Linked DNA regions of Notamacropus eugenii. The protein of the gene in region 3 purifies or fractionates together with the protein of the main gene of each other region. This does not show direct contact. Links are inferred from orthologs where the notes say so. Each region holds a gene or a part of one and is shown on either strand. Other genes may lie near its edges. The genes, in order: LRP5, PPP2R5A, AXIN1 and DVL1.

Region 1 (7,209 bases), on a different chromosome or scaffold from region 3:
CCCATTGTTAATGCTAAACTGCCTAAAAAAAAGAAAAAGAAAGAAAAGAAAAGAAAGTCATAACATTTTCAAGTGTTTAGACTGAAAGGAGCCATCTCATTCATCCCATCCCCCTCCCCCCATAATATACTGTTTACATTTCAAAGCTTCACCTACAGAAGACTAGACTGGGAATCAGCCAGACCTGGATTCAGAGAATGCCCCAGGCATGTTCTAACTGAGTTTCCAGTGTCGGAGAAGCTCAAGTGTTCTCTTCTGTAAAATGGAGCTAACGAGATCTGAAGCCCTTACCTCTTGGGTTTGGGCAACAAGAAAATGCCCATAGGTCACTTTTTAATTGTTAAAGTGTTTTTACATATATGCCAGCTATTATTTTTAATTAAAGAATGTTATGACTATTTTTTGTTTGGGAAGACCAAGTCAAGTCCCATTTCTTACACATTCTGGCTGTGAGATGTGGAACCTCTTAGTATCCTGGGCAGTTCACTCTCTAAGACTACGTTACAGAAAACGTGTTGAGCTTGTGCTGGTAAAGGGCATGTCCTTCTCTGGTTTAGAGAATGCTCTTTACCAATGAAATCACAGGACTGCTCCTAGCTAGAGCCCTTCATTTTCAAATACATCCCTCCTCCACCTCCTCAGAAAGCAATTCTTGGGTTGATGACCTGTGAAGTCTGTATTTCCCCAGGGACCCCATAGACACAGACCCCTTCCTGAATCAGGTAGATGTAGAATAAAAGAAAGAAGGAAGGAAGGAAGGAAAGAAAGGGAGAGAGGAAGGGAGGGAAGGAGGAGGGGGGGAGTTCATAATCAATGAGCCACTGAAGGGACTGTATGGCCTCACTTTAGGAAAGAGGAATCATTTTCCAATTCTGTCCTTCCCTTCTCTCAGTCTTTACCACGTTGCCTAGCATTGTAAGCCCTGGGCCATTTGGCTCAAAACAAAACTCCTGGGCAAAGAAACTGAGGCTGCCCGGAGTGGCTTCAGAGTGCGGCTGTGCCCCAGGGCCCTTCTCTCTCTCTGTCTGTCTCTGTCTGTCTCTGTCTGTCTCTGTCTGTCTCTGTCTCTGTCTCTCTGTCTCTGTCTCTGTCTCTGTCTCTCTGTCTCTCTCTCCCCTCACCACGAGGCCAGTTCTCTTGAAGAGGTTATAGGGGTGATGGGGACCCCAAAATACCGACAGTCCGGGTCGTGCTCGAATGAATTCGACTCAAGCCTTCTTAAAGCCAAAGAAAACAAAGTTTATTAAAGATTCGCCTAATTGGGTTGCCTCTTCAGGACCCTAAGCATTTGTAACGCTTGTATTCACAAGCGGGCCAGATAGAATCCAGGCTAGACGGGGTGTGAGCTGGATTCAATCTGAGCGCCTTCATGGAGGCAAGGTGGGACTAAATACAGAAAAGAGTATAGGAGGGGTCTGGGGGGGGGTCTAGTAGTCCAGGGTGATGGGAGGAGGGATTTAGGAAGGGTCTTGAGGAGAAGTCCAAGGAGGGTCAAAGGCTGGAAACAGCTGGAGGCTATCAGGAGAAATCAGACCACGGAGCGTTTGGGTGGGAAGCAGGTGGGGCAATCCAGAGACCTAGATAGGGCCAGTATGTGGATGGATACAGATCTTGATGGGAGTGGCTGGCAGCCTGGGGAATAGGGTTTTGATGAGATCAAGGGTTGGGGGTGCAACAGAGACCTGAAATGATAATGTAAAACCCATAGGCTTCCTGAGACTGTGGAACAAATGGGAAGATTAGATTTGAGTAAGAGAGGCCAGATTAAGTGGGAAGATTCAAGGGGAGCTCAAGGAGGCTCCCAGAGTCTGAACCTCATCACTCTGCACAGACGGTTCCTCTACATTCAATCCTTGTCTCTCCTGAGCTCCATTCCAGTGATCTCAACAGCCTCCTGAGCATTTCTAATTGGACTTTTTGTTGGCATCTCATACTCGGTACAGCCTGAGCAGACCTCTTTCTCTTTCCTTCACGCTCCCACTTCTTCCTCAGTTCCCTGTTTGTGCCAAAGGTACCCCCACCCTTACAGGTACTCAGGGTTCAAACTTCTGGCTCCTGCTCTACCCTCTTTGTGGCTCCTCATCCTTGCTGGACTAGGTGGCTTCCCAGGCTCCTTCCAGTTGGGAGATTCTGAGTTTCAAAGACCATTCTCTTTTGGGGGGGGGGGTTCCCAGATTTCCCTTTAAACATTTTCAGTCATCCTCTTGAGCATTTCTTTGTTCACATCATTCAGTCAGCACTTATGAAATGCCTACTGTGTGCCGGGCACAGACGCAGCAGGTGCTTGAGATGCAAAGAGATCCAAGTTCACGGAGCTTACATATATTGTGACCTTACATTTTATATATACGCCTACGAACATGGACAAAATGGATGCAGTAAAAGACGTAAGATCTTCTTGAGCTGAGGGGATGGAGAAAGGCCTCCTGTAGGAGGTGTCCTTGTACTTACTCTGCCCAGGCAGTCAAGGGAACTATGGATTCCAAGATGGGAGGTGAGGTGGTAGAGCATTGGGGCAGCACCCAGCCAGCACTGAAGCTGACAGTCGCTGAGCTGCTCGGGGTGAGTGTCCCAGGTGAGGAACACTTAGAAAGCCAGTTTGACTGGAAGGTAGAGGCCCAGAAGGGGGAGCAGGGGCAGAGGGAGAAGGGACACAGAGAGAGGGGTTGGAGGGGGAGGGCTCAGGTTGCACAGGATGACATAGGTTCAGGGGAGGCCCTGGAGCCTCAGTAAAAGCCCTGCACTGGAAGTAAGAGAACTTGAGTTCGAATCCAGATTCCCTGGAATGCCCTTTCTGAGCCGCAGTTTCTTGCCCAGTAAAAGGAGGCAGCCAGTGAGCAGCCAATCCAGATGCTCCAAGAAGGCCAGGTGTTTACAGGAATCCTAAAAGAGCCCAGGAGGCCATGGTGGGCAGGGCCACCTTCAGCCCTCCACCCACCATTCAGGCTCCTCCCTGGACAGGGCAGGGATTGTCACAGTGCTTGGCACAAAGTAAGCAATAAATAAAGACTGACTGCCAGATGGGTCACTGATTAGCCAGAGTATGTTTGTTCGTGTGGGTGTGTGTGTGGGTAGCTCACGTGTTGTTAGAATTCCTGAGTCCCCCTTGTGGATCTTTCACATTGGGCAGTCTGAGCCTAGCCAGAGACCCCACAGGACAGAAGGCTGGGCCCAAATCAACAGGGGAAAGGATTGATATGAAGAGGGGTTAGGACAACTTGTAGATGTGAGCTAAGTATTGAAGGAAGTCAGGGAAGCCTGGAGGAGGGAAAGCATTCCAGGCATGGGGGGAGAGCCCATGAAAATGCCTGGAATCTCATTCTGGAGCACCCAGGAGACCGGAGAGTGTGTGGTGGGATGTGGGATGTGAGAAGCCTGGAAAGTTTTGTGTGTATGCAGGGAGGTGAAGTTAGGAGGGACTGAATGACAGAGGATTTGATAGTGAATCTTGGAGCTGCCAGGAAGTCGCTGGAGTTTTCTGAGTACGGGGTGACATGGTCAGATCTGAGCTTGAGGAAGATCTCCTTGGCAGCTGCGAAGGGCAGACTTGTTGCAGGCAGGCCCCTAGAATGCCACAGAAGTAGTCCAAGCCAGAGGTCTGAGGGGCTGCCCCCGGTGCCAGCGCTGGTTGCCAGTGCCGTCAGAGGAGACAGAGCTGGGCAAACCTGTCCAGTTGACATCGACAGGCCTTGACCGCAGCTTGGCTATGGAGGAGGGGGAGAGGGAGGAGTTGGTGTCCAGCTTTAGAGCCGGGGGTGGGGGGGAAAGGGGGAGGATTGAGAGGAGGGTGGTGCCCTGGACCACAGCGGAGTTAAGAAGGCGGCAGTGTTGGGGGGGGGGGGGGGGAGTTTGGCACAAGTTGAGTTTGAGATGTCCACTAGGCATCTGGGTCTTTGGGATTCAAGGTCAGCAGACAAGTCCACTCGGGAGCTCGGCCGCACGCGGGGTGACAGGCCCGGCAGGTGGCAGCTGGCGGGCGCGAGAGAGCGCGTTAGATGGGGGCTGGCAGGCGGGGAGGCGGGGCCGGCGAGGCAGCTGGGGGCGGAGAGCCGCCTGGGCTCCCGCCCCCCTCCTCCTCCCCCTCCTCCTCCTCATGAACGTCCTCCCACTGGGTTGGAGGAGGCTTGGGGGAGGCCCGCGGGGAGGGGGCTAGGGGCGCCAGGAGCGCACGCTGGGGGAACCGAGCTGCCCTGGGGAGCCGGCGGCGGGGCCGGAGCGGGAGCCGGAGCGGGGGCCGGAGCGGGAGCCGGAGCGGGAGTCGGAGCAGGAGGGGGCGCCCAAGCCAGAGCCGGAGCAGGAGGGGGCGCCCGAGCAGGAGCCGGCCGGCCCGCCCGGGGGGACGCGCGGACACCTGGGCCCCCGCGGGCCGCGCCATGGAGCCCGAGTGAGGCGGCCGGGCCGGGCCGGGCCGGGGCCGGACGATGGAGGCTGTGCTGGCGTTGCTGGTCCTTTGCAGCCGCTTGGCTCCAGCGGGAGGTGAGTGGGGCCCCCGAAGCTTTGTCTCCTGGGGCCCAGCTTGGCCGGGCCTGGGCCGCCGGGACAGAGGCAGGGCTTCGCGATCGTCCGGGACCAGCGCAGCCCAGCCTGGAGCTGGGGACAGGGGCCGGCGGCGGCGGCCGAGGGGGGATCCCCCACAGGCACACATTCACTTTTGGGGAGTGCTGCAAAGGCGTTGAAACAATAGAACTTTGCTGGGACCTGCTCGGCGGCTGGACGGCCGGCCTGCTGCCTGCCTGCCGGGGGCGGGGAGCAGGAGCCGGGCGGGCCGGCCGATCTCGAGTTCAGAAGTTGGCTTGTGGGCCTGCGACTCCCCGCGCCGGCGGCCCGGAGCCCTGGGGGTGGGGTTCAGAGAAAGGAAGCCCCCGAGTGGCCCCCGCACACGCTCCCCCCGCCCCTGCCAGTGCCCGAGTGGGGCTGTCCGGGCCCTTTGTCTGGAGGTTCCGGGGAGACGTGAGGCCGAGCCGGGAGGGAAGCCAGGGGCCCCCAGCCTGCGCGCCCACCCCACGCTCTCCTCCTGCTTGGGGTGCTTTCCCCCCAGGAGCAGGGCCCTGGGTGCCACGGGGTGTGGCCCAGGTGCGCGCCCCGCGGAGTCCAAAAAGGGTGGCAATAAAGGAGCAGGGCACTCAGGCAGTCTGCTGGAGCAGAGCTGGCTGCCAGGTACGGCGGCCACCTGTGGAGAGCTCAGCACCACCCACCGTGTCCCCCTGCACGTTGCTCCCCCCCTTTTTTTTGCTGGGGAAAGAAGAACCCGCAGGTGGAAGGAGCCCACATTGGGGCCCAGCCCACTTCTGGCCACCTGCTTTTCCTTGTGATCCCCAGTGGCCCGGGTTCGATGCCTGCAGCCCCCCTCCCCTTAGACATGGAGAGCCCCTGCTGGGCCCCTCCATCTAGAGGCAGCCTGCTCTGCCGCCTCCCCTGACTTGGCCGAGGAGGAACCCAGAGAAGTCCCCCAAACCCTGCTCACCTGGCGGTTCGGGCTTGGAGGGAGGGTGCTGGTCAGAGGCCCCTTGGCTTGTCCTAAGCGAGTCTACACGTGCAGAGGGAGCTAGACTGGCAGCAGTGGTCTGGGGAAGTCTGGTTCCTAAGGTTTCGGTAACTATTTTACTCGTGTAGACGTAGCTTTGGGGGAACGAAAAGCTGTGGCCTGCCGCTGCAGGGTGTGGGGAAACAATGGCATTGCCTGGCCTTGTCTGGAAGCTTTGGGTGCCTGCCTCCCAAAGGCTTAGGTTTGAGGCCCTAGGTGGCCCATGGAGTCTGGAAGGGCAGGCTTCTCCTCCACCTTTTATCTCTCTCTTCTTTGTGTGACCTTGGACACCTCACTGCATCTGAGTGCTCTGATGTGGATTTGCATTGGTATTGGACAGTTTCCCAGGCCAGGTCTAGTGCCCCCTTTATCTCCCCTTGGTTCCGGCCTCCTCTTGCTGCTGGAGTGGAAGGGGAGCAATGTGCTGGAGGTCTCCCTGCCCCTAGCCTCTGCCCAGGGTTTTAGTATCTGTACTTGGGTCTCCCTTAATGGTTTGGGGGCTTTTCTGAACTTAATACTGAGTTTGCAGTAAGTTTATCTCTGTGTCTGCAAAGTAAAGAGGCCTCATCTTCTGCTTGTCCTCAGCCTTTTCTGAGGTTCTGTGCTGGGAGTACACTCCCCTCCTCCTGGGGCTGATTCTCATTTTAGGAGTAGAGGGAGCAAAGACCCTCCAGGCCCCGCCCTGGAGGCTCCTGGGCACACATTGGACAGTTTTTGTCACCTTACTTTTTGATTTTCAGCCTATTTCCCCCCATTAGTCATTCAGCTAAGCACCTACTATGTGCCAGTCATCTGGCTGTGACAACCACTGTCATACAGAAGTTGCTGTTCAGTCGTGTCCAACTCTCTGGGCCCCCGTTTGGGGTTTTCTCAGGATCCAGGCAAGGATCCTGGAGTGGTTTGCTCTTTCCTTCTGCAGTTCATTTTAGATGAGGAAACTGAAACAAAATAGCTTGAAGTGATATACTCTGGGTCTGAGGCCAGATTTGAACTCAGGTCCAACTGACTCCAAGTGGGGGGATCTATCCACTACACCACCCAGCTGCCTCCATCAAACAGAGAGGAAGCACCAAAGTCTCTGGCTCCAGAGTCAGCATGCTTTCTCCTACTTCTATTGCTTCCTTTCTGCCCTCAGCTTGCAGTCTCTAAAACTGGAACAGTTATACCCATAGTACTTCCCTCACAGGGCACGAACAAGGCAGGCAGGTAGCAAGCAATTATTATGTGCTTCCTGTGTGCCAGGGACTATATTAAAGAATCTCTGAGATATAGAAGGAAGTAGAAAGCCCCTGGCCATCCCTCCCCCCAGTTTACATTCTCAGGTGGGAAGACCACATGTAAAAGGGAACTAAAATTGGGGGAGGGGAGGGGAAATGAGACCCCAGTTCTGAGCCCTGTGTGAATGTTAACCCATTAATTCTGTGGGGCTTAAAACTGGCAAAACATGGCACGTTCATTATCAACGTCCCAGTAGGCCTATTAAGTGGCTACCATTGTGATTGGTATCTCCTTTTTTTGGAGGGGAAACTGAGTCCCAGAGAGAAGTGATTTTCCTAAGGGTTGCAGCGAGAAGGTATCACTCAGGCAGGATTTAAATCCAGGTTTTCCTGACTTTGAATCCTGAGAATCTCTTCATGTTCCATACCGCCTGGGGAAAGAGAACGGGCCATGGGAGGCAGAGGACT
Region 2 (7,708 bases), on a different chromosome or scaffold from region 3:
ACTTTCTCTGTCTGGAACATACTCTCTTCCTTTAAAATTCTACTTTAAAATCATCTCTTCCAAAAAAGTTTTCCCAGACTAATTCCAACTCATTTCTATTTACTCCAGTTTTTCCAACAACTCCATCCCAACACTTATAAATGTAGCTTTATACATCTGCAACTAGTTATGTACTATATTTGTGTGTTTTCTGTTGTATAACAACTCAGATTAAGACAGTGCTTGAACATTTACAAAGCAATTTCCTCAGAACTACCCTGAAGTAAGTAGAACAAATATAATTTCCCCATTTTAAAAATGAAGAAATTGAAGTTCCAAGATTTTTAGTGACTTGCCTATATTTACACAGCTAGTTAAGTGACAAAAGAAGGATTTAAACCTGGGTTTCTTCTAAGTGCAAGACCAGTTTTCTTTCTACTGAACCATATTCCCTCTCTTAAATATGTTTTGTCTCATATTCTATTTAAGTATAATAAAATTCATGGGCTTAAGAGATCAGAGTTTTTAATAAAAATGAGGTACTAGAGGGGGTAAGTAACTTGGCTAACAGCTAATAAGTGGCAGAACAGGGACTTCTGACTCTTTGTAGAATTCTCCTTCAACTTTGGTGGTATAGGGCTGAAATGGAATCAGCCCCTTACTTTTGTGACCATGAGCAAACCATTTAATCCCTCTGGGTCTCAATTCTCTTATCTATAAGGAGGCTGGAATAAATGGGATCTAAGATCCCTTTGTTCTAAATTCATGACAATGGTTCTTTCTTCATTACCAAAAGATAATATTACATAGCAGTGATCTTGGAACTGGCATAAAATAATATCCAAAAAGCCCTAAATGAAAATAGATATTATAAAGGAGACCAAGAATCAGACATTTTTTAAATTATTAAATACAATGTGTAAGAAATTAGATCATGATAAAGAAAATATGAACATCCTCTAAGACTTCACAGTCTAGAAGGAAAAAATAAAAACTTTAGATCATAGGATTATATGGCTATAGATCATATGGCTTCCTTAATGTATGGGTCTCATTACCATTGTGCTGCAAGTGTTAAGCCTATTTTTCCTGTTGAAGCTGGGTGTATTTGAGGGGAGAGTATGCCCCAGATTTATGGAGTAAATGTTTTGTAGGTATAATTTTACTTTATCTTCTTAGTAAATGCCTTTGGCTAAGAGTTCATTGTATCTACTGGCTTACTGTTTATGGGAAGCATACCAATGGGGGCTCAGAAATTATATTTGTAGGAACAGTCACACATAGGGTTATCCCTAGAATCCAAGATAACAACCACCCTCTAAGGCTCTATTCCTGGAAAGAAAGTGTTAAATTAGGAAGTAGCAAGTGAAAGAACTGAGACATTCAAGTGACTTGTTCAAGGTCTGAAAAATAGTAAGTAACACAGCCAAATTTGAACTCAGGACATCTTATTCTGGATCCAGTGTCTCTTCTACTATATATCCCAAATCTTGATAAATACAACACAAGTCAATTTTTAACTGCTATATGAGTGTGATAGCTGTGTGCAATAGATGGTCATGAAAGGTAGGACTGGGCTCAGTGGGGAAGACATCTTGGAGAGTTTGATCTGGGTCATGAAGAAAAGCAAGCATTTTGAAATACCTCATAAGATCATAGAGTCACAGATCTAGAGTTGGAAGAGATCCTAGAGTCATAGACCAACCTCACTCATCTAACAGATAAAGAAGTTTAAGCCTAGAGAGACTGGCCTAAGATGATACAGGAAAGAGGCATAACTGAGATTTGGTATGAAGAGGAGTAAATAAACATTAAATATCTACTGTGTGCCAGCACTGTGCTAATCACTTTACAGTTATCTTAACCGATCCTTGCAACAACTAGGTTGTGAGGTACTATTATTATCCCCATTTTACATTTGAGGAAACTGAGGTGACAGAGGTTAAATACTCACCAAGGGTTGCAGAACCAGCGTCTGAGAATGGATTAGATCTAGGTCTTTCTGACTCCAGGCACAGCCTTTTATCCACTGTACTATGTGCTGCCTCTGATTTGAACCAAGTCCTCTTGCCTTCAGATTCAGCTCCAATGATGCAGACTGGGGGAGTAAAAGCAGGTTCTAGGCCAAGGATTATTAACTTTTTTTGTATTGTATCCTCTTTGGTGTTGTGGTAAAGACTTTGGACCCTTTTTCACAACAGCATATAACATAGGATCACAAAAGAAACCAAATATATTGAAATGCAAGTATCAAAATATTACAAGAAAAGACAAGTTCACTGACCCTAGGTTAAGAACCCCTATATTGTTGGTGAGTCCTGTTTGATTTGTCATGAGACCATTTGGGGTTTTCTTTGCAAAGATGCTGAAGTGGTTTGCCATTTCCTTTTCCTATTCATTTACAGATGAGGAAACTGAGGCAAACAGGGTTAAGTAACTAGCCCAGGGTCGCACTGCAAGCAAGTGTCCGAGGCCAGGTTTGAATTCAGGTCTTCTTGACTTTAACCCAGTGTTCTATCCACTGCACCACCTAGCTGCCCGTACCTTAAGTAGAAGGAAAATCAGAGGTGGGAAAATCAAGGGTACATTTTGGAAAAGGGAATAGATTGATCTATTTAATGGATGGATCTGTCATATCAGGGGTTCTTAAACTTTTGTGTGTGTGTCATGGAACCCTTTGACAATTTGAGGAGTGAAGCTGTTGCATCCCCTCTTAGAATAAAGGTGATTTTGTGCATAATTGAAGGAAATGCTCAATTTCAGTGAGAGGTTAGTGAAAATAAATGTGCAATTTTTTTCCATCCAAGTTCACAGACTCCTGAAATCTAGACACCTGAGGGAAAGAACCCCTCCCAGGGGAATGATACCACAAGGACTAGAAAGGTCTTTAAAGGTCAGGCTTTGAAGCCCTAGCTAAAGAGTTTGTACCTTATGGAGAAGACAGTTTGGAGAGAAGGTGTAGTGAGCTGGAAGCAAGGTCGGGCCAAGGGTATACGGCAAGTTTGTGAATAAACAGGGCAGTTTTGTGTTTTTAAAAACTCTCTGGTTGGTTAGTATTTGAGGACCTTGAGTTGGGGAAAGAAGGGGAAAACTTCTAGTACGGTCCAAGAGAGCGGTTCGGGGGAGGTCAGCCTGGGGGCTTTTCTGGAAAGATGTGCGGTGGCTTCAGAACCTAGCGCATGTGCTCCTAACGAGCCCGAGAAAGGGGAGGCGCCTGCATTCCCCAACACACATAAAAACTTTGGGGAAGGCTTTTATGTCCAACGCCCGCCCTTAGAAGCCTTCCTTTCCCTCCCCTCGCGTTCCCCCAGGATTCCCCGCAGGCTGTCAATCAGTGCCCGCTCCCGCCCCGACTGGACCGTGAGGCTGCCCTTCTAAGTGACGGATCACCGGGCGTTCTTTCCTCCGGGAGCCCGTCCCTATGGTTGCTGTCAGTCGCTTCAGTCGCTCATTGGCCAGCGGGCCTAGGAGGTGGGCGGGAAGGGGGTGAGGAGAGTGTCCGGCAAAGCCAATCCCCCTACCCCTTTCTAGTCTCCCTGTTCTTTCATTGGCTACCGGAAAATTAACACGCGAACACACGTGTGTATGTGTGTGTATGTGAGTTTGTGTGCGTGTGTGTGTTGGGGGGCGACAGTACCTCCCTTCTCCCGCTCTGGAGTGTTGGTTCCACTGCTATGACGCTGGTAGCGCGCCTCCCTCCCTTCATCGGTCATTGGTTGAGAGAGATGTCCGTCACACAGCGTCCCCTCCCTCTTTCCCCTCCTACCCTGCCCTCCCTAGTCCAGCCTTAGTCTCTTTTCAGCTTTTCTAAGTGCTACCCTAAGCTGTGTGATTGACTGTTAGGCGTGCCCCGCCTCTCTCCAGTGGCTTCGGTTTGCATTGGCGGGTAGCGCCTGTCACTTCTGTTTAGTTCACCACCCCTTTATAGGTTCTATCCCCTATTAGCCCGCTCCCCGCCCCCCACCTCCTGGAGCCTTAATTAGCTTCGCGGTTTTCGTCAGTGACACAAGCTCCTCTTCCTCCTCCTCTTCCCCTCCCCCGCCGTAGGCCCCTCCCTCCGGCCGAGCGAACTCCGGGCTAGGAGCGCGGGCGCGCACACCCTCCCCAGTGTCCGCCACCCTCCCGAGTTGTAGCGGTCGCGGCGCTGCGGGGGTTGGCCGTGGGCTGTGGACCGGCAGGCGGGCGGGGTGGGGGAGGGGGGGTTTGAACTTGGCGGCGCGGAGCGGAGCGGCGGAGAGCTGGGAGCGGCGTGGAGGGTCCGGGAGCGCGGGTCCACCTCCCGCTCGGGGAATGAGGGGCCGCCGCTGAGCAGGAGCGAGGAGACACCGAAGGGGTGGGGGGGAACACCGCGGTAGCGGCGGCGGCAGCAGCAGCTCGGGCCGTGCGGAGCCCCGGGATGGCCGCGGCGGGGGCGCCTCCCGGCAGGAGCACCGGCAGCGGCAATTGAGGCGCTCTCCTGGACGGCTCTCCGAGTCCTCTGCTCCCAGCGCTCCGAGGAACTTCCCTGCAGCTCCGCCCGCAGCCCCCAACTTGGAGCAGCCCGGGAGGAGCGCGTGCGGAGCTGGGAGCCCGGCCCGGGATGGGGCTCTGAAGATCTGGGGGGCAGGCGGAGGGCGGCCGGCCGGCCCGGGGCAGGAGGAGCGAGAAGACAAGGAACGGGGCGCTTAAGCGGCGCGGGAGCCGCTTTCCCTTCTCCCGGGAGCCGAAAGCGGGGAGGGTGCGGGCAGTTAGGGGGAACGGGGCCGGGAGGTGGGGGCTTCCGCTCCTCCTCCTCCTTCTCCTCCTGCCGTGACTGCCGCCGCCGCCTCCATGCAGCGCCAGCCTGAGCTGCCGAGCTCGGCGGCCGCGATGTCGTCGTCGTCCCCGGCCAGCACCGCCATCTCGGCCTCGGAGAAAGTGGACGGCTTCACCCGGAAATCGGTGCGCAAGGCGCTGAGGCAGAAGCGCGCGCAGGGCTCGTCGCAGTTCCGCTGTCAGAGCAACCTGCCCGAGCTGCAGCCCTTGCCCCAGCTCAAAGGTAACCGCAGTCCCCGCCGCCGCTGGCCCCCGGGCCCGGCTCGCCCTTCCTCCTCCTGGACACGGTCACTCCCCCTCCCGCCACCTCCAGCTTGTGCCCGGCTCTCGGGGTGCAGTGCAAGAAGCGTAGGCTTCACTTCCTCGGAGGTGCTGAGATGGTGGTGGTTTTGTCCCTGAATTACCTCCTCCTCCCCATCCAATCTCAGAACCACCCTTGGTATTGAAGGCCTCCGGGGGAGGGGAGTGGGGGGAAAGTTACACCGGCTTTCCCTTTCTCGTCAGCCAGAATTTGCAGCCTCCTGGGTCTCGGTTCCCCTTTTCCACCTGGGACCCCTCGATGGCCAGAGGGTCGGATTTGAACTCAGGTTAAACTTAGGCACACTTCTCCAAAGCTCATCTGCCTCCTTCTTGCTTTAACACCCGCCCCGGTTCCTTCTCCTCTTCCGACTTTAGCTTTCCTCGGGTTTCCTCACTTTTCTCTGCTACTTTAAGCCTTTCCTTTGACTTTTAGGGTAATGAGTAGGCTGGCAACACACACAGACACACACACACACATACACACACACTCACGCACACATAGAGACACACGCAAACTCCCCCTCCCAGTGATTACTCCTAGAGGCCATATTGATGAAGCCTGCTGATGTAAACAGCTGTCCTCCTAGTTGGGCTTTAGGAAATTACTTAGATATTTCAAGTGGAACTTTTCACTGGATAATGCAGAACAAACGCATTTTCCTAACCTGGGGACCAGGAAGACTTTACAACCCCTGTGGGCTCCGAATGCACCGAGGGCAAAATGGGAAAGGCATAATGAAGACAATCCTTTTCAAAGTGCTATGATAATTTTTTCCTGTGAGTGCGTTGTCCCAGTTCTGTAGCTTTTCAGAATGAGAATTCTGAAATACAGCAATTCAGAATGAGATTCTATCCAAAGCTGTGCAGAGGAAATTAGCAATCCCATTGGATTTTCCTCTCACTTTATAAGATTTTGACGGAGTTGTTTCCCCGGTGTTATTGGGAAATACTGTAATTTTCCTCTTTCTTTAACAGAAATACTTTGCGTTTGTATAGTTTTGACATTTAATGGATAAAGATGCTGTCTGAGATTGAAGTGGGATTCCATTTGACAGTTTTAGAAAACTAGTCAATAAAAGATACAAACACTAGCCAGTCACCATGGAAGAAATTCAGTAAAAACTTAGATTTTTTTCAAGGCCTGAAAAATAAAAGGTTCACAGTCATATATTTGACGATGAAATGCACAAAGTACATTTTAAAATCTTTTCTCCCTGCTTTGCCCACTCCTAAAACCAATCTGGGTCCCAGCTGTATGAATCTAGTAGAGACTGAAAGAAGAAGCCCCAAAGAAAACATTTATAGTATATATGAAATCTCTAGAACTGTTTCTGCTTCTTAGGCTCTAAACAGAAGACATTCTTCTAGGAAAAATAAGGCAGGTACTGAATCAGAATCAAACTAAATAGAGGTGGAACTTGTGAAATGTTGCCTCTGCTATCAACTTTAAGCTTACTCCTTAATATGTAATAAAAATTAATTGGAACCTAGATATCCTGGTCACTTGAGTTCAACTCACTAGTAGGCATTGCCAAGAAATATTTGAGAGTGATGTCATTCACATCTATAAGAAACTTGAGTTGTTTGGTCCTTTGTTTAGCCTAAATAATCAAAGTTGTGGTTTTTAAAAAGCCTTTTAATTCTAAATTATTAATTTGATTTGTAGTTAGAAAAAGTATGAAATAGTTTTCATTTCACTGTGTTAAAGGCAAGTTTAAAGTACAGCATAAATTGACTTCAGACTTTTAAGTATTATATCTACTTTTTAACTTAAATAAAAAAAATAAAAATGGAGAATAAAGGCTCTTAATTATCCTGTAAAGTAAGGAACTCTATCTTTATAACTTCCCCCTCCCCCAAACCCTTTCTGCTGTTCATACTGTCCTGAAAGGTAATTGGAGAGATGTTTGCTCCATTTCATCTGATTGGTGCTACCTTACTGCCCAAGGTCAAATGTAAGTGTGTTCTTTATAATGGCATATAGTTTGAACAAGTGGAAAGTTAGTCATTTTATTTAGTGTTTGGTCTTTGTGGAAGGGAACAACAAAATTAGAGTGTTGTAGCGATAAATGTTGCAGTTAATGTATGTTTGGCTCTTGGACTTTTTAGTGAATATCACCTTTTGGAAAACAAACATTCCTTAGAAAAGTGCTATTTATTTAACCAAATGAGCATATGCAAATTTAACCTTTCTTTGCTCTTTTTACACCTATGAGGAAAACTAGGTTAATTTTAATAGAATTTCGAAAGTGCTAGGAAAGCACATTTTAACCGATTGCTTCAATTAGCGTTACTTGTGCTTAATTAATGTGAAAAATTCGTGTATGGCATTGTAGGTACCCAAATACAATATTTTTCCCCATGGTTGAGTGCTACTGATTTTCTCATATGCGTAGATATATTCCTAATAAACAAAGAAAGAGAAGATGGTAGTATATGTGGGAAATTGCATATTCCTCTGTGCCCTCAGATTTTATCCTACTATAAAAGTGAAATAAGTATACATATGCATTCAGAAACTGTCATGTGTTTGTACCAACCTGCTCATGTTACAACTTTGTTCACGTAGGCCCAGTGTTGGCAGGGTGCCAGCTAGCTTTCTCCAGTATACCATGTGCAGGGATTACTTAACCAA
Region 3 (7,357 bases):
TGCCTCTTTTATGGGAGATAATTTATCCCATTCAGTCTCCTCCTTCCTTCTTCCAGTGCAATTTTCTTTCTCACTCCTTTATTTTGTTTTCTTTTGGGGGAGTATCATCCCATCAAAATCACCTTCTATCCACCCCCTCTCTCTACATATGCTCCTTACTTAAAGATATTAAGAGTTACAAATATTATCTTGACATATAGAAAAATAAACAGCTTAACCTTAGTGAATTTCTTTTGTTTTCTCTTTCTTGTTTACCTTTTTATGTTTCCCTTGAGTCTTGTATTTGGAGGTTAAATTTTTTATTCAGCTCTCATATTTTAATTAGAAATGCTTGAAAGTCCTCTATTTTTTTTAATATCCATTTTTCCCCTGGAAAGATTATATTCAATTTTGCTGGGTAGGTGATTATTGGTTATAATCCTAAGTACTTTGCCTTCTGGTATATCATATTCTAAGCCCTCCAGTTCTTTAATGTGAAAGCCACCAAATCCTATGTAATTCTGACTGTAGCTCCACAATATTTGTATTGTTTCTTTATGGCTGCTTGCAATACTTTCCCCTTGATCTGTGAACTCAAGTATTTGACTATGATGTTCCTGGGAATTTTCATTTTGGGATCTCTTTCAGGCAATCATTGGTGGATTCTTTCAATTTTTGTTTTGCTCTCTGGTTGGTCTAGGGCAGTTTTGTTTGATAAATTCTTGAAAGATGTTGTCCTGGCTTTTTTTTTTGATCATGGCTTTCAGTTGATCTAGTAATTTTTATATTATCTCTCCTGGATCTATTTTCTAGGTCATTTGTTTTTCCAGTGAGAAATTATACATTTTCTTCTATTTTTCTTTTACTTTTTTGATTTTGTGTTATTGTATCTTGATGTCTCATAGAATCATTAGTTTCAACTTGTTCAGTTCTAATTTTTAAGGAATTTTTTTCTTCAGTGAACTTTTGTACTTCCTTTTCCATTTGACCAATTCTGTTCCTTAGGGAGTTATTTTCCTCAGTAAATTTTTGTATATTTTTTCCCATTCTATTGACTCTTCTTTTCATGATTCTTTTGCATTACTCTCATTCCTTTCCCCAATTTTTCTTCTGCTTCTCTAATTTGCTTTTTAAAAATCTCTTTTAAACTTTTCCAGGAATTCTCTTCGGGCCTGAGACCAAATTACATTTTCCTTTGAGTCTTCACACATAGCGATTTTGACACTATGTCCTTTTCTAAGTTTATGTCTTGATCATTCCTATCACCATAATACTTTTCTATTTTCAAGCTCTTTTTTGTTTTTAACTCATTTTTTCTTGTTGCCTCTCCCCACCCCACCCCTCACCACACTTTTTCTGTGACTTGGTGTTTTTATGTGAGAGTTGTCCTCTGGTTCTGCACTGTCCCAAGGTTTTTGCACTAGGGCTCTAGGTTTTACTCTTGGCTTTCACTGGGCTTCAGGGCTTAGAAGATGCTTGTCTTTCCTGGAACGTAGGCTTCCCTTATGGCTTTCACTAGGAGGTAGGCCTTCCTTGTTGACCAAGTGTGGAATTTAGCTGCTGGCCTGCCCCAGGGGTGGGGTCCTATTGCTGGGTTGCTATTGAAACAGGGTCTCTCTGCTGGTAGGCCCCTGGGACAGGGTCTCAGTGTTAGGCAGCCCCAGGGTAGGGCTTCAGTACTGGTCAGCAATGGGGTCAAGGCCTGGCTGGTGGCTTGTGCTTTGGGGGATAGGGCTGTGCTTCTCAGTATAGACTGCTTAACTTGCCTGGGGGGCTGCTGACTTGCAGGAGGGTGGAGCCTCCTAGGTAGATTTGCTGCAGGTCTCCTTCTGTGAGGCTGGCTGCTGCTGCTACTGTTCTTAGACCTCGCTCCGCTCCCACCCCAGTGAGACAGACCTTTCCTGCTGTGCTGGTAAGCTTCTTTCCTGCTCCTGGGTCAATTCTGAGGTGGTTTTCTAGTTGTTTCGAGGGGAATTTGGGAGGACTTCAGATGGTTCCTTCCTCACTCTGCACTAAGTCTGTAGATGTCTTAAGATTCCATGCTGAGGAAGTTTGTGTTTCTCTTAGAGGCAAGAGAGTTGTTAAAGATTTTTGAGAAGAGATATGTGAGCCATGGCCTTTATTTTAGGAATTTTGGTTTGACAACTCTGTTGAGGATGGATTTGAGAGGGGAGAGTTTGGAAGCTTTGAGATCAATTAGGAGGCTTTTGCCATAGTCCACGTGAGGGGTAATGAGAATCTGAATTAGGGTGATGATCTTGTGAAGTGTGAGAAGGGGACTGATGGCAGAGATGTTATGAAGGCAGTATTAACAACTGATAGGGTATGGGGATTGAGGGAGAGGGAGGACTCAAGGATCATACCAGTGGTATCAGTCTTGGATGACTGAAGTGACAGGGAAGTTTAGAGGGATGTATTTTAGGAAAATGAGCATCTCGTTTTAGGTAGAGATGTCCTGTAGATAACAGAATATGTAGCATTGGAACCTGGAAGAGACATCAATTCTAGATACATAGATTTGAGAAACTGCAACAAGATGATAATTGATCCCATGGGAGTTGATCAGGACATTAAATAGATAGAAAGAACAGAGCCCACTTAATGGGCAAAGAAGGTGATGATGATCTAGCAAAAGAGTTTGAAATGAACTATTTAGAATTCTAGAAGGAGAACTAAAAGAAAACTGTGTCAGGAGCCAGTGGCATAGTGGATAGCGTACTCAATTTGGCATCAGAAAGACCTGGGTTCTAACCCTACTTTAGATACTTGATGACTTCCACCCTGGGCAAGTCACTTACCTTCTCTGTGTGGCTATTTCCTCTTCTCTAAAATAAAGCTGGACTAGCTGCCCACTCAGGACTAGCTGCCTGCTCAGTTCCTTTCCAGCTCTAATTCTATGATCCCAGGTAATTCAAGGGAGGAGAGAAGGAAAGGGGAAGAAAGGGATTGTCAGGTCCAAAGCTTCAGAGAGATCAAGTAGAATGAGGACTGAGAAAAGGCCCTAGATCTAGTAGATATCCTTGGTAAGAGCAGTTTATTGAGGGCTGGGGTCAGAAGTAGAAATGCAAGGTACTCAGAACTGAGTGGGAAGGGAGGAAATGGATATAGGGAGTTTATCTTGGAAAAGGAGAAGAGAAGTTGGTCTGTAGCTTAATAGGTATGGATGGATAGCTTGAGGGGAAGTAGTTATCAAATGAAGGTTTGTGTGTGTGTGGTTTTGTTTATTTTGTTCTGTTTTTAGGATGTGTGAAACCTGGATCTTTTAGTAGGAACAACTCAGTGGATAAGGAGATACTGAAGGTGCGAGGGAGAGGGAGCAGTCACTTCTGGAGGATATGGTGACAAGACTACAAGTTGCAGGGTTATCTGCAACTGGGACAAAAGAAAAGATAACGGGGGATAAAGAAGAAAAGGGATTTCGGGGTATGGAGGAGAGAAGAGGAAGCTTAGGATGGATGCCCTTTCTTCTCTCCACCTTTCCAGTTCATCTCCGGGCCTCTGCTAACGTTCCTGGCCATCTTTCCTTGCCGCCCTTCTCCTCCTCTGCCTTCCCTCCAGTGTCTTCCTTTCCTTCTCATCTCCCCCCTTTTCTTTCTTTCCCTCCTTCACCTTCTCCTTCCCTTTCCCTCTCATCTCCCCCCCTTTTCTTTCTTTCCCTCCTTCACCTTCTCTTTCCCTTTCCCTCATATTAGGACTCGTAGTGGAAGAGACCATTGAGGTGCATTTCACAGCTGAGCAGACGGAGGAGCGGTGACCTGAAGGGACCCTGCCCAGGTTACCAGGCTCGCTGGAGCTTTGCAGAAGCTCGTCTCTTCTGCACAGCCGCACTCCCTCTCCTTTTCCCCTTCCTTCCACCTCCCGCCGCGTTCCTTCAGCCCCTCCTCCCACTACTGGAGCTCCTCCCTCGTCTCTCCCTCCCTCCCCCGCCGCACACTTGCCCCGCCCCCAGTGCGCGTCCCCTCTCGGGGCCCCGCCCCGGCCCCCGCCCCCGCCCGGGGCCTCCCCCGCAATTCTCGGCGGCGCCGAGGGTGGCGCTCTGGGCTCGAGCTGAAGCTCGCTGGGCTCGGGGGCTCGGGCTCCCGGCTCGGGCGGCAGGAACCGCGGCAGGAGCAGCCACAGCGGGCAGGGGCCGCCTCCGCGGGGCCGGGGCCGGGGCCGCAGCCGGAGCGCCGGAGGAGGGGCCCGGAGTACGGGCCTGGCACGGGGAGCGGAGGCGGCGGAGGCAGAAGCCAGAGCGCGGGCGGGGCAGGAGCGGGCCGGGCCGGGCCGGGCGGTCGGCGCAGCCCGGGCTCTGCTCGGGCTCGGCTCCGGCTCCGCGCCCCAGCCCGCTGACCTCGCTCCACGGGCCTCCTTCCCCGTCCCGGAGGCAGCCGCCGCCGCCATGGGGAGCGCCCGGGGCCGCGCCCCCGCCCCGTCCCGCCCGCCTGGTCTCCTCTGAGCCGCATGGGCCGGGCCGCCCGCCCGCCCCGGGACCGGGACCCGCCGCCGCCGCCGCGCGGGTGAGTGGGGAGCCAGGCCGGGCCGGGCCGGGGCCGCGCATTCCTGAGGGGGGAGGCCGGGCAGGGGCCGCGGGGCGCGGGGCAGGCCCGGACCCGGAGCGGAGCCCGCCGGCCCAGGAGCCGGGCCCATTGTAGGGAGCTCGGTGGCCGCAGGGGAGGTCGGGGCCCCGCGCTAGGCCCGGCCCGGCTGGAGGGAGCGCGAGTCCCAGGGAGGGAAAGAGAGGGAGGAGGGGAGCTGGGGAGAGGAAGAGAGGAGGGACCTGGGGTCTGGGGGTGTCTGGGAGGGAGAACCTGGGGTCTGGAGGTGTCTGGAAGGGGGAACCTGGGGTCTGGGGGTGTCTGAGCGGAGAGGGGAGGGGGGACCTGGGGTCTGGGGGTGTTTGGGGAGAAGAGAAGGGAGGGGAGACCTGGGGGTCTGGGGGTGTCTGAGAGGAGGAGAGGGGAGAGGGTACTAGGGGTCTGGGGGTGTCTGAAAAGAGAGGGAAGGGAAGACCTGGGGGTGTCTGAGAGGAGGGGGAGACCTGGGAATGTCTGAGAAGAGGAAAGAGGGGAGACCTGGGGGTATCAGGGACGGGGAGAGGGGAGGAGGGACCTGGGGGGTGTCGGAGAGGAGGAGTGGGGGAGGGGGGGGTATCTGGAGTCTAGGGGTATCTGAGAGAAGAGGGAAGGGGATACCTGGGGGTATGGGGGTGTCTGAGGGAAAGAAAGGGGAGGAGATGTAGGGGTGCTTGAGAGGAGAAGGAAGGGTACCGGAGGGAGGGAGAGGGAGGAGAAAGGAGGGGGAACCAGGAAGTGCCTGAGAGGAGAGGAAAGGGGGGGACCTGGGGCATGCCTGAGAAGTCGGAATAGGGCACCTGCATATGCCTGAGAGTGATGAGGAGACCTGGAAACGTTTAAGGATAGAAAATGAAATTTGGGAGTGTCAGGAGACGGGGATGCTGAGGCCAAAGAGCAGCACAGGACTTGCTTACGAGTTTGTAAGGTCAGGATGTCATAGAGGTGTAGGTGGTGTGAGAAGGCTGAATGATGATTCTGGAGGTGAGTATGAAAATGTAGGATAGAAAGGGAGAGAATGTGGCAGAGGCCAAAGCAGTTTATGAAGTATAGCTAGTTGTGTGTATGTAAAATAGGATAGAGGAATTTACATGTGGAGGGCTATTTGAGCAGAAGGCTTTGAATTCACCCACTGCCCAACCTTGTCCTCTGCGCCCCCCCTACAAAAATAAAATTTCCAGAGTGAGGAAAATCTCTAGTTGTGAAGGGGGAGAGATGGTGGAATGTATCTGCATTTAAATGTAGAGAAATGTGAAGAAGAGGGGGTCCAAATAAGGAAATCTGAGGATAGAGTAGAGCCGGTGTCCAATTGGAGTCAGTCCCATAGGTGTGTGTGTGGGGGAGGATTGAAGAAGACAAGTGAGAAGAGGATACCTAATGTGAGGCAAGTTGGAGATTTGTAGAATGATTGTTAGAATCCCAGAATTAGACCTAAAGGAGGGATATTAAGAGATTGTGGCATAGAAATAACCCCAAATTGGAGCAGAAATACTGTTGTTTTTCTGTACAACGTGTAGTACTAGATGTGGTTTGACCTCAGAATTCAGGGGTTGCCCCTTGCTTCTGTAACCTTCCAAGACAACAGGTAACAAACCTAACTTTGTAGCCACGGACTAAACCTCACCTAGCGTGATTTTTTTCTTTAGGAGTCCCACTCCCAGCCTGCCGTCTCACCCCCTCTGCCCCTCCCCCCCCAGGAAACCTTAGGAATATGCAGTCTCAAAACCAGTGTTAGAGGGAGTCAGTAAAACTTTAACTTCTGAAGAAAAAAGAGTAAATACATCAATACTTCAGCGGTTTCATTCAGCCCAAATCTAAAATATTTTTACAAAGGGTTTTTATTGTGGAGATTAGCTTTTTTTTTTGGGGGGGGGGGGGGCTGCACAATAAGGTTCTGTGCTTCTCCCTGCAGGAAGTATTTCAAGTTCACTTGGATCCACAGGCCCTTCTACAGGAGTTCACCTGTAGTCTGGTTGGGTGGGAAACTGTATCTGACCTGAAACAATGTGTAAGAATAGCTCAGTTCCAATTCTAAGAAATTCAGCTGAGGGAAAAGGTTAGGATGTCACTTAAAAGACCATGTTCCTGTTTGATTTTCAGTAGCTTTGAATTGTCATCCCTTGCTCTGGTTTGAAATATGTTCTTGGGCTTTTTCTGTGGTGGGAGAATCAAGTTAGTGATCATATCACTTTTTAAAGAGTCCAGACACCTGGTACTCAGGAAAGGAGCTTATGCAATCCTTAAATTATAAAGGCATATCAGACTTTTAAAAGCACATTCCTTTCAAGGGAGAACTTTGTTGTTGGAGGTTACAGGCTCTGAGCCAGATTGCATATCTGTGGTTACTTTATTCTAGCATGAATTAATTTTACTGCATTTATTTATTTATTGAATGAGTGAGTGAGTGGACTTTGTATTGATTTACTTCTGTGTTGGAGACCTGAGAATCAAAGAATAGTGTTTTACCAGTCTACAGATTTGGTGGGGAGTGTTTTCCTTTTGGTACTTGTAGAGACAGCAAGGGTCTCCTGCCTTGTGTTAATTGACAACCCTTGTAAGTGGAAAGAATCTGAAATATTTCATTTGTGTGGAGAAAGATAAGTTTAACATGATCATAGAATGTTAGAGCAGAAAAAGAAGAGGAGGGTGATCTAGTCAAACTCCTTCTTTTGACAAATGAGGAAACTGAAGCCCCAAGTGGTTAAGTACTTTGCCCAAGGTCACGCAGTTCATTAGTGGCAAAACCAGGTTACAACCTAGGTCTTCTGATTCCTAGTCTAGTGTTCCTTCCATTATCCCATATTTGTTTTGGTGTATTTGATAAA
Region 4 (7,000 bases), on a different chromosome or scaffold from region 3:
TCCTTCCCCCCTCCCCAAGATGGCATGCAATCTGATATAGGCTATACGCATTTTCCCATTAGTCATGTAGGGAAAGAAGAGTCAGAAGAAAAGCAAAAAACCACAAGAAAGAAAAAAAATCAAAAGAGAGGAAAATAGCGTTTTGATCTGCATTCAGACTCCAGAGGTCTTTCTCTGGATGGGGATGGCATTTTCCATCATGAGTCTTTTGGAATCGTCTTAGATCATTGCTTCGCTCCAAAGAGCTAAGAATGACAAAATTTTTAGTGAGTGCTAAGTACTACCTATACCAATGCCACACAAGCTTGAAGTGTGCGTGTGCTTTTCAGGCTACACTTAAACCCTTTCATAAAGGAAATATGAACATGGAGAAACCAAATTTTAAAATGATTTTATATAAAATTGAACCTCTGTCACTTACAAGTGGATCGGACACCTGCCTTAGAGGCAGGAAGACTTAGGCAGAAGTCCTGTCTCTGTGGGATCACAGGCAAATCACTTAACCTCCCTAGGACCCAAGGAACTCTCTAAGCCAATTCAACAAACATTTACTAAGCATTCATAAAAGGCGACAGAATCCCTGCTCACAAGGAGATTACATTCTACAGAGATATACGTGTGTACATAAGTAAATGCAAAGATCTATGAAGTTGTAGAAGGTAGTTTGTTTTAAAAATTTTTTATTGGTATCTTTTGTTTTTTACATCACCTACATTCCCCAATACATCCTTTTCCCTCCTTTACAGGGAGCTCTCCCTTATAACAAAAATAAAAACAGGGGAAATGACCAATTTGGAGAAAGTAACTAACATATCGAAAAAGTCTGACATCATTTGCAGCGATCCACACCCAAAGTCCCCCACCTTTGCTAAGTAAGGTTAGGGCACAGTTTGGTGTCAGGGACAGCTAGGTGTCCTTGTGGATAGAGTGCTAGACAAGGTCAGGAAGACCTTAGACATGGGCAAATCATTTAACCTCTCAGCCTCAGTTTCCTCATCTGTAAAATGGGGATAGGGAACTCTCAGAAGAAAAAACTTCCTGCCAATGCAGGTCAATACCTTCTCTTTGATTCACAGTCTTAGAGACCATAAAAAGTTAAATAACTTGCTCAGTCAAATGCTAATAATAATAGTAATAACTGTTGTTGTTACTGCTGGTGGTGTGCAGTGGATGGAGCACTGGACCAAGAGTCAGGAACTGCTTACTAGCTGTGTGACCCTAGGCAAGTCACTTGATCTCTATCTGCCTTCCTCTTCTCATCTTTAAAATGGGGATAATAATAGCACCTCTCTCCCTCCCAGGGTTGTTGTGAGGATAAAATAAGATAATATTTGTAAAGTTCTTTGTAAACCTTAAATTGATGTATAATATATATATATACACACATTTGTATATGCAAATAGATGTATCTATAGCTATTTCTTCTTTTAATTTTTTTTATTTTCAGCACCAAATTCTCTCCTGCCTCCATCCATTGAGAAGGCAAGAAATAGGATATCATCATACGAATGAAGTCACACAAAATAGTTTTCCACAGTAGACATGGCAGTCCCCCCAAAAAAACAAGAAAATATTTGAAAGTAAAAATATATGCTTCATTCTGTACTCAGATTCCTTCAGTTCTCTCTCTGGAGGTGGATAACATTTTTCATGATGAGTCCTTTGGAATTATCATGGGTCATTCTCTTGAACTGTTCCTAGTTCATCATTGTTACAATGTTGCTGTTACTGTGTATGTACAATTGTCTCCTGGTTCTGCTCACTTCACTTTGCCTCAGTTCATATAAATCTTCCCAAGTTTCTCATCATTTCTTACAGTATGATAGTATCACATCATAATCATATGCCACAACTTATTAGTCATCCCCCAAATTATTTTTTTCCAAGGGGGGGAAGTACTAATAATTGGAGGGATGAGGAAAGGCCTCCTATACAAGGTTGACTCTAAGTTATTTTTTGAAGGGAGGTAGACGGACTAGACATTGGGGACATTGGGGACATTGCTACAAATAGTATTATAAATATTACAGTATGACAAATAGTATCCCATTTGATCTTCTTTACAACCCAGGAAGGTAGGTACTATTTTTCTTCCTACTTTAGTTAAGGAAATTGAGGCAGGCAGAGGTTAAGGAGCTTGCCCACAGTCACATAGCTGATAAGTGCCTGAGATCACATTTGAACTCAGGTCTTCCTGATTTCAGGCCCAGCTAGACCTGGGCCCCCAAAACTCCCTATGAATGCTAGCAAAATACTAACCAAAATATTCAGCCTTCCTACTTGGCTTCTGGGAGAGCAGCTTGGAGAAAATGGAGCTCCCAGTGCATAGGACAGGGGACAGATATATTGTATCAGCTTCCAATCTGTAACAATATTATCAGCCCCCACTCAGTGTCTGGCTACAAGCAACCTCAGAGGTCACCTCCCTTGCTTGGATGTAAGTGACAGATAGGAGACCCAGGCTCTCTCCCAGGACCTGTTGAAGACAGGTAGACCCTGAGAGGAAGCAAGGTGGCTCAGTGGATAGAATCTCTTGCCTGAAGTCAGGAAGACTCATCTTCCTGAGTTCAAATCCGGCCTCAGAAACCTACTAGCCCTGCGGTCCTGGGCAAGTCACTTAACTCAGTTTGCCTCAGTTTCTTCATCTGTAAAAACTGAGCTGGATAAGTAAATATAGCAAACTGCTTCAGTATCTTTGCCAAAAATGGGGTCATGAAAAGTCAGACGCACCTGAAGGAGCCATTCTAATGGTGGACAGGTTTTGGAAAGCAGCTGGGGGAGACCTATGTAAGAAACACTCCCAAGCCAGAGACACAGAGATACAGACAGGTGCGTATACAGACATCGAGACAGAGACATGGAGACAGAAATACAGAGCCTGGAGCCAGAGTCACACAGAGATATAGAGTGACACAGCCAGAGACAGAGATACCCACACATATTGACACAGAGGCAGAGACACCTAGAGAGACAGAAAAACGGAAACACTGAGACAGGGAGAAAGTGACATAAAGTGACTCCTAGCCAGACACAGGAGCTCAGATACAGAGACACACAGGGCCAGGCAGACTGAAGAAGGGAGACAGCCACAGAGAAAGGAACCCGCCAGGTCCTCCCTCGCAAGACCCTGCCCAGGACGGTCCTCTGACTCCAGGCTGCAGAGGCTGAGATCGCCCCCCAGGGCAGCGAGCAGCCCTCCCAAACCCCGACAGCCTTCAGCGAGGGGGAGGCACGGACGTCTCGTGACTGCGGCCGTAATCACGGGGGTCGGGGAGGGGGGACAAGGTGAGACGTCTCCTGGCTGTCCCTTCCCAACCCCCTCCCCCGCGATCACGGCCGCTGGGGCTGCGGTCCCTTTAATTCGGCCCTTGGCTGTGGAGGGGGGCGAGGCAGAGCCACGCGCAGAGACGTCGCGAGGGGCGGGGGGGCGGGGGGCGGTGCCGACGAGGGTGCGGGCGGGGGACCGGGCGCTGGGACTGGGTTCGGAGCTGAGGCTCGGGGCGGGGAGGGGGCGTCACGGAGGGAGGGGCCGCGGGCGGAGGCAGGCAGGGAGGGGGGCCCGGGGGCAGGGGGCCGGGCCTGGCCGGGCGGGGCGGCCGCATTACTCACGCTGCTAATTGCAGGGCGCGGGGAGCCCCCGATCCGGGCTCGGCGCTTGCCTGCCTGTCTGTGGCCCGCTCGGGCTCCGGCTCCCGCCGCCGCGGCCCTTTAGAGCTCGGTCGGTCCCCGGCCCGCCTCCAGCCAACCCGGCCGGTGGCCCCGAAGCCCCCCCCGGGCAGGCGTCCGAGGCGGCCTCCCCCGGCGCGCCCGGGCCGGGGCGCGGATGGGCGGCCGCGGGGGCAGCGCGGGGGGCAGCAGCCGGCGCGCCGCCTCCGCCTGGACCTCGGCCTTGGCCTCCCCCTGCGGCTGGCCCGGCCTCCCTGCTCGATCGGGAGCCGCCTCCGCCTCCGCGGCCTGGACCGGGGCCTGGGCCCCGTCGGCGCAGAAAGCCCGAGCCCCCGGCGCCCGGCCTCCGCTCCTGCGGCCGCAGCCGCGGTCCCCTCGGGGCCCCGCACTCCGGGCTCCGCGCTGAACCGGCGCCTCTGCCTCCGACGCCCCCGACGCCCCCTGCCCCGGGCTCCCCCGGTCCGCCCCCCATGGCGGAGACCAAGATCATCTACCACATGGACGAGGAGGAGACGCCCTACCTGGTCAAGCTGCCGGTGGCCCCCGAGCGGGTCACGCTGGCTGACTTCAAGAGCGTGCTCAGCAACCGGCCGGCTCACTGTTACAAGTTCTTCTTCAAGTCCATGGACCAGGACTTCGGGTCAGTGGCGGCCTTGGCGGCGTGCGCGGCTCCCGGGGCCCTGCTGGCCCTGCCTTTGCTCTGGCTCTGGCCTTGTCCCTGTCTCTGACCCCATTCCTGTCTCTGACTCCGGCCTTGGCCATCTCTCTCTCTGGCTCTGGCTCTGGCTCTGGCCCTGGCCCTGTCACTGGCCTCGTCCCTATCTCTGGCCCTGTTCCTGTCTCTGGGAGGGGGTGCATTGAAGGGTTCAAACCTCTCCCTACCCCAGGGCACCTGTTCCCTGACAGAGGGGTGGAGCTTCTGGCTGGGGTCCTTATCCCCTGTCCCCTCGTTTGTGCCTCGGGCTTAGTGTGTGTATATCAGTGGGGTTCTGGGGCTCTGCAGCTATGACTGGGGTGAAGTAAGCCACCCCATTGTGGGGACAGAAGTATTTAAGTGAGGAGAGTCCTTCCTCCTCCATCTGAATGTCAGCACTGACCAGGGTGGGTGGAGGAAGATGGGCCCTCTCTGGCCTTGGCAGGGTTTTTTGCCCTCTCAGACTCCTGGCTGGGCTGGGCACGCAGGGTTCTGTCCCGGGAAGGCCAGGCTAGGCCGCTGAAGCTAACATGGCTGCCCTGGCCAGAAGGCCTTGGGAGCTGGCGAGGGTGCCGGAGTTGGGGGGGGTGGAGGGTGCACCAGTGTGAAGGCAACTACACCCTCCTATATCAGCCGACTCTGGCCCCCACCTCTCTGATACCAGAGGAGTGGCTTCCCCTTCCCCCAAGCCTAAGAGACGGCCCTACTCCCTCCATTCTCAAGGGCCTCTCTCAGCATCCAAGGGATTAATGGGAGTTAAGAGGTGGGGGCTAGGACTGTGTCCTGGCTGAAACCAGGAGAGTTCCTCTCCTTCTCCAGGATCCTTTCTTGGGGAGAGGTCAGACCCTGTCTCTAGGGTCTCCCTGTCTCCCTGACTTGATGGCAGCATGCTGGCTGCCCACCACAGTGGCTGCCCACCATAGTGGCTGTCTACAGGGCTTAGGAATCCATTTTCTGAACCCCAGAGTCTGCTGGGTACCTGTTACTTTTCCCAGTCTCATTGCTGCTGTTTTCTTAGGAGGGGCTAGTTAGCCAAGATGGAGCTTTTCCCTTCTAAAGCTGGTGCTGGGGCTCATTTAACTAGGGCTGAATCTTTGCTAGCCAAGCCTGAGTGGGCCCTCAGCTGAACATCCTCAGCCCTGGCCCATTTTCTGTCCAGTGCCCCACTGGGTTTGGCTGGTTGACCTCCCTCCTATCGATTAGGCCTGGTAGGGCCTCTGACTGTGCCCTTGTTTACCAGCCACTTTCTGAGAGTTTGACATTGAAAATCATTTCCTGGTTCACATGGTTGCCTGCTGCCTCTGGCCCTGAGGAGGGCTGCCTGTTTCAGGGCAACGCTTTGGGGAACTGAGGCTTTACCCTGAGCAGCATTTGAACCCTTGGGGCTCTATGGGGAGCCAAGGTTTAGAGGGGCCAACTCTGGGGAGGCAAGGGCAGGTGCTAATTCTGTAGTGTCAAACTCAGAAAGTGAGATTCCAAGGGAGTCTCTAAGTTGTACATAATCTCTGTGGGGGAACATACCGACTTAGAAAGCTATGCATTAACATTATCTATGTTCTATTATATTTTTTGTTAAATTTTTAATATGACTTTCCAGTTACATTTTAATCGGGTTCCAGTCTCACTCAGAACTGTTGCATTTGGGATAGTGCATTTGACCGCACTGGTATACAGTAGAAAGGAGACAGAGGGCCCAGGTTTGAATCCCAAGAGTCCAATGGAATTCTTTGATTTTAGGAGCAGTATCATCAGTCACAGGATGTTAGAGAGAATGTCTTCCACTTCCAAAGTTGTGTGACTTTGGGCAGATTCCTTCCTCTTTCTGGGTCTCAGTTTCCTTATCTGTAAAATGGAGGGGCTGGACCAGATGACCTCCAAGGTCGCTTTCAACTTTACATCTGTAATCCTGTGGTTTCTGCTCCAGAGCAGGGGCTCTTCATCGTAGATAGGGTTGAGAGCTGCTTTCCAGTTATCTCTGAGACCTTTCCTCCCTCCTTCCCCCTCTCCCCAAGCTGAAAGAGCTCCAGACCCCTTTCTGGGGTGCCAGGGGTAGAGACAGAGGATCCTCATGTCTGCCTAGCTCTGAGATTAGTTTCTCGTGCTGGACAGCGCTGAGGCCCCCTCCTTAGAGGTTTTATTGGCTGGGAGGCCTCCGCTACTGAGCCAGTTCTTGGCCATTGGGGGAGGGGCATCAAGATTTCCCCCTCCCCCCATCCCTGACCTCTTTGCAAATCGAAGTCTGGTTTTGGAAGTTGCTTTTGTAAGCTCCTTTGTGGAGCTGGGATCGTGTATTCTGGCCTTGAGCCCCAAGACTCGAGTCTGGGGCTGCAAAAAGGATTGGTGCGTCTGGTGGTATCTTAGGGAACCCTTCGTGTGGGTACACCCACTTTCTGATGACCCAGGCTCCCGGTCTTTTGGGGAAGTCTGGCCTGGGGGAGGGGGGACTGGGATGCCTGGCCTTTCATCCCTGGGGTGGGGGGAGCTTCTGGGCTCTGTTCTGCTTGCTTGTTCATCGTATTTAACCTCAGGTCCCATTAAGCCCTAGGTTTATGGAATCTGGGGCTGGGCTCTGGGCCTGGGGTTCGAACTCTAGGGAGGAGGAGTAACCGAAGGAATAGCCTTCCCCAGGGCCTGGTTAGA

Evidence for each region.
Region 1: the proteins of AXIN1 (region 3) and LRP5 purify together in Homo sapiens (affinity purification with western blotting; 3 studies listed by BioGRID). This does not show direct contact. The link is inferred for Notamacropus eugenii from reciprocal best matches to the Homo sapiens genes AXIN1 and LRP5.
Region 2: the proteins of AXIN1 (region 3) and PPP2R5A purify together in Homo sapiens (affinity purification with western blotting; 3 studies listed by BioGRID and IntAct, with this or other methods). This does not show direct contact. The link is inferred for Notamacropus eugenii from reciprocal best matches to the Homo sapiens genes AXIN1 and PPP2R5A.
Region 4: the proteins of AXIN1 (region 3) and DVL1 purify together in Homo sapiens (affinity purification with western blotting; 3 studies listed by BioGRID). This does not show direct contact. The link is inferred for Notamacropus eugenii from reciprocal best matches to the Homo sapiens genes AXIN1 and DVL1.

The regions. Positions count from the first base shown.
Region 1 is NC_092873.1:20,619,902-20,627,110, forward strand, and holds the start of LRP5 (low-density lipoprotein receptor-related protein 5), read left to right. Parts: upstream 1-4,199; 5' UTR 4,200-4,421; coding exon 4,422-4,476; intron 4,477-7,209. UniProt on the Homo sapiens protein: Acts as a coreceptor with members of the frizzled family of seven-transmembrane spanning receptors to transduce signal by Wnt proteins.
Region 2 is NC_092873.1:426,020,023-426,027,730, reverse strand, and holds the start of PPP2R5A (serine/threonine-protein phosphatase 2A 56 kDa regulatory subunit alpha isoform), read left to right. Parts: upstream 1-4,705; 5' UTR 4,706-4,788; coding exon 4,789-4,996; intron 4,997-7,708. UniProt on the Homo sapiens protein: The B regulatory subunit might modulate substrate selectivity and catalytic activity, and might also direct the localization of the catalytic enzyme to a particular subcellular compartment.
Region 3 is NC_092872.1:54,636,916-54,644,272, forward strand, and holds the start of AXIN1 (axin-1), read left to right. Parts: upstream 1-4,349; 5' UTR 4,350-4,478; intron 4,479-7,357. UniProt on the Homo sapiens protein: Component of the beta-catenin destruction complex required for regulating CTNNB1 levels through phosphorylation and ubiquitination, and modulating Wnt-signaling.
Region 4 is NC_092876.1:34,807,039-34,814,038, reverse strand, and holds the start of DVL1 (segment polarity protein dishevelled homolog DVL-1), read left to right. Parts: upstream 1-3,995; 5' UTR 3,996-4,136; coding exon 4,137-4,306; intron 4,307-7,000. UniProt on the Homo sapiens protein: Participates in Wnt signaling by binding to the cytoplasmic C-terminus of frizzled family members and transducing the Wnt signal to down-stream effectors. Plays a role both in canonical and non-canonical Wnt signaling.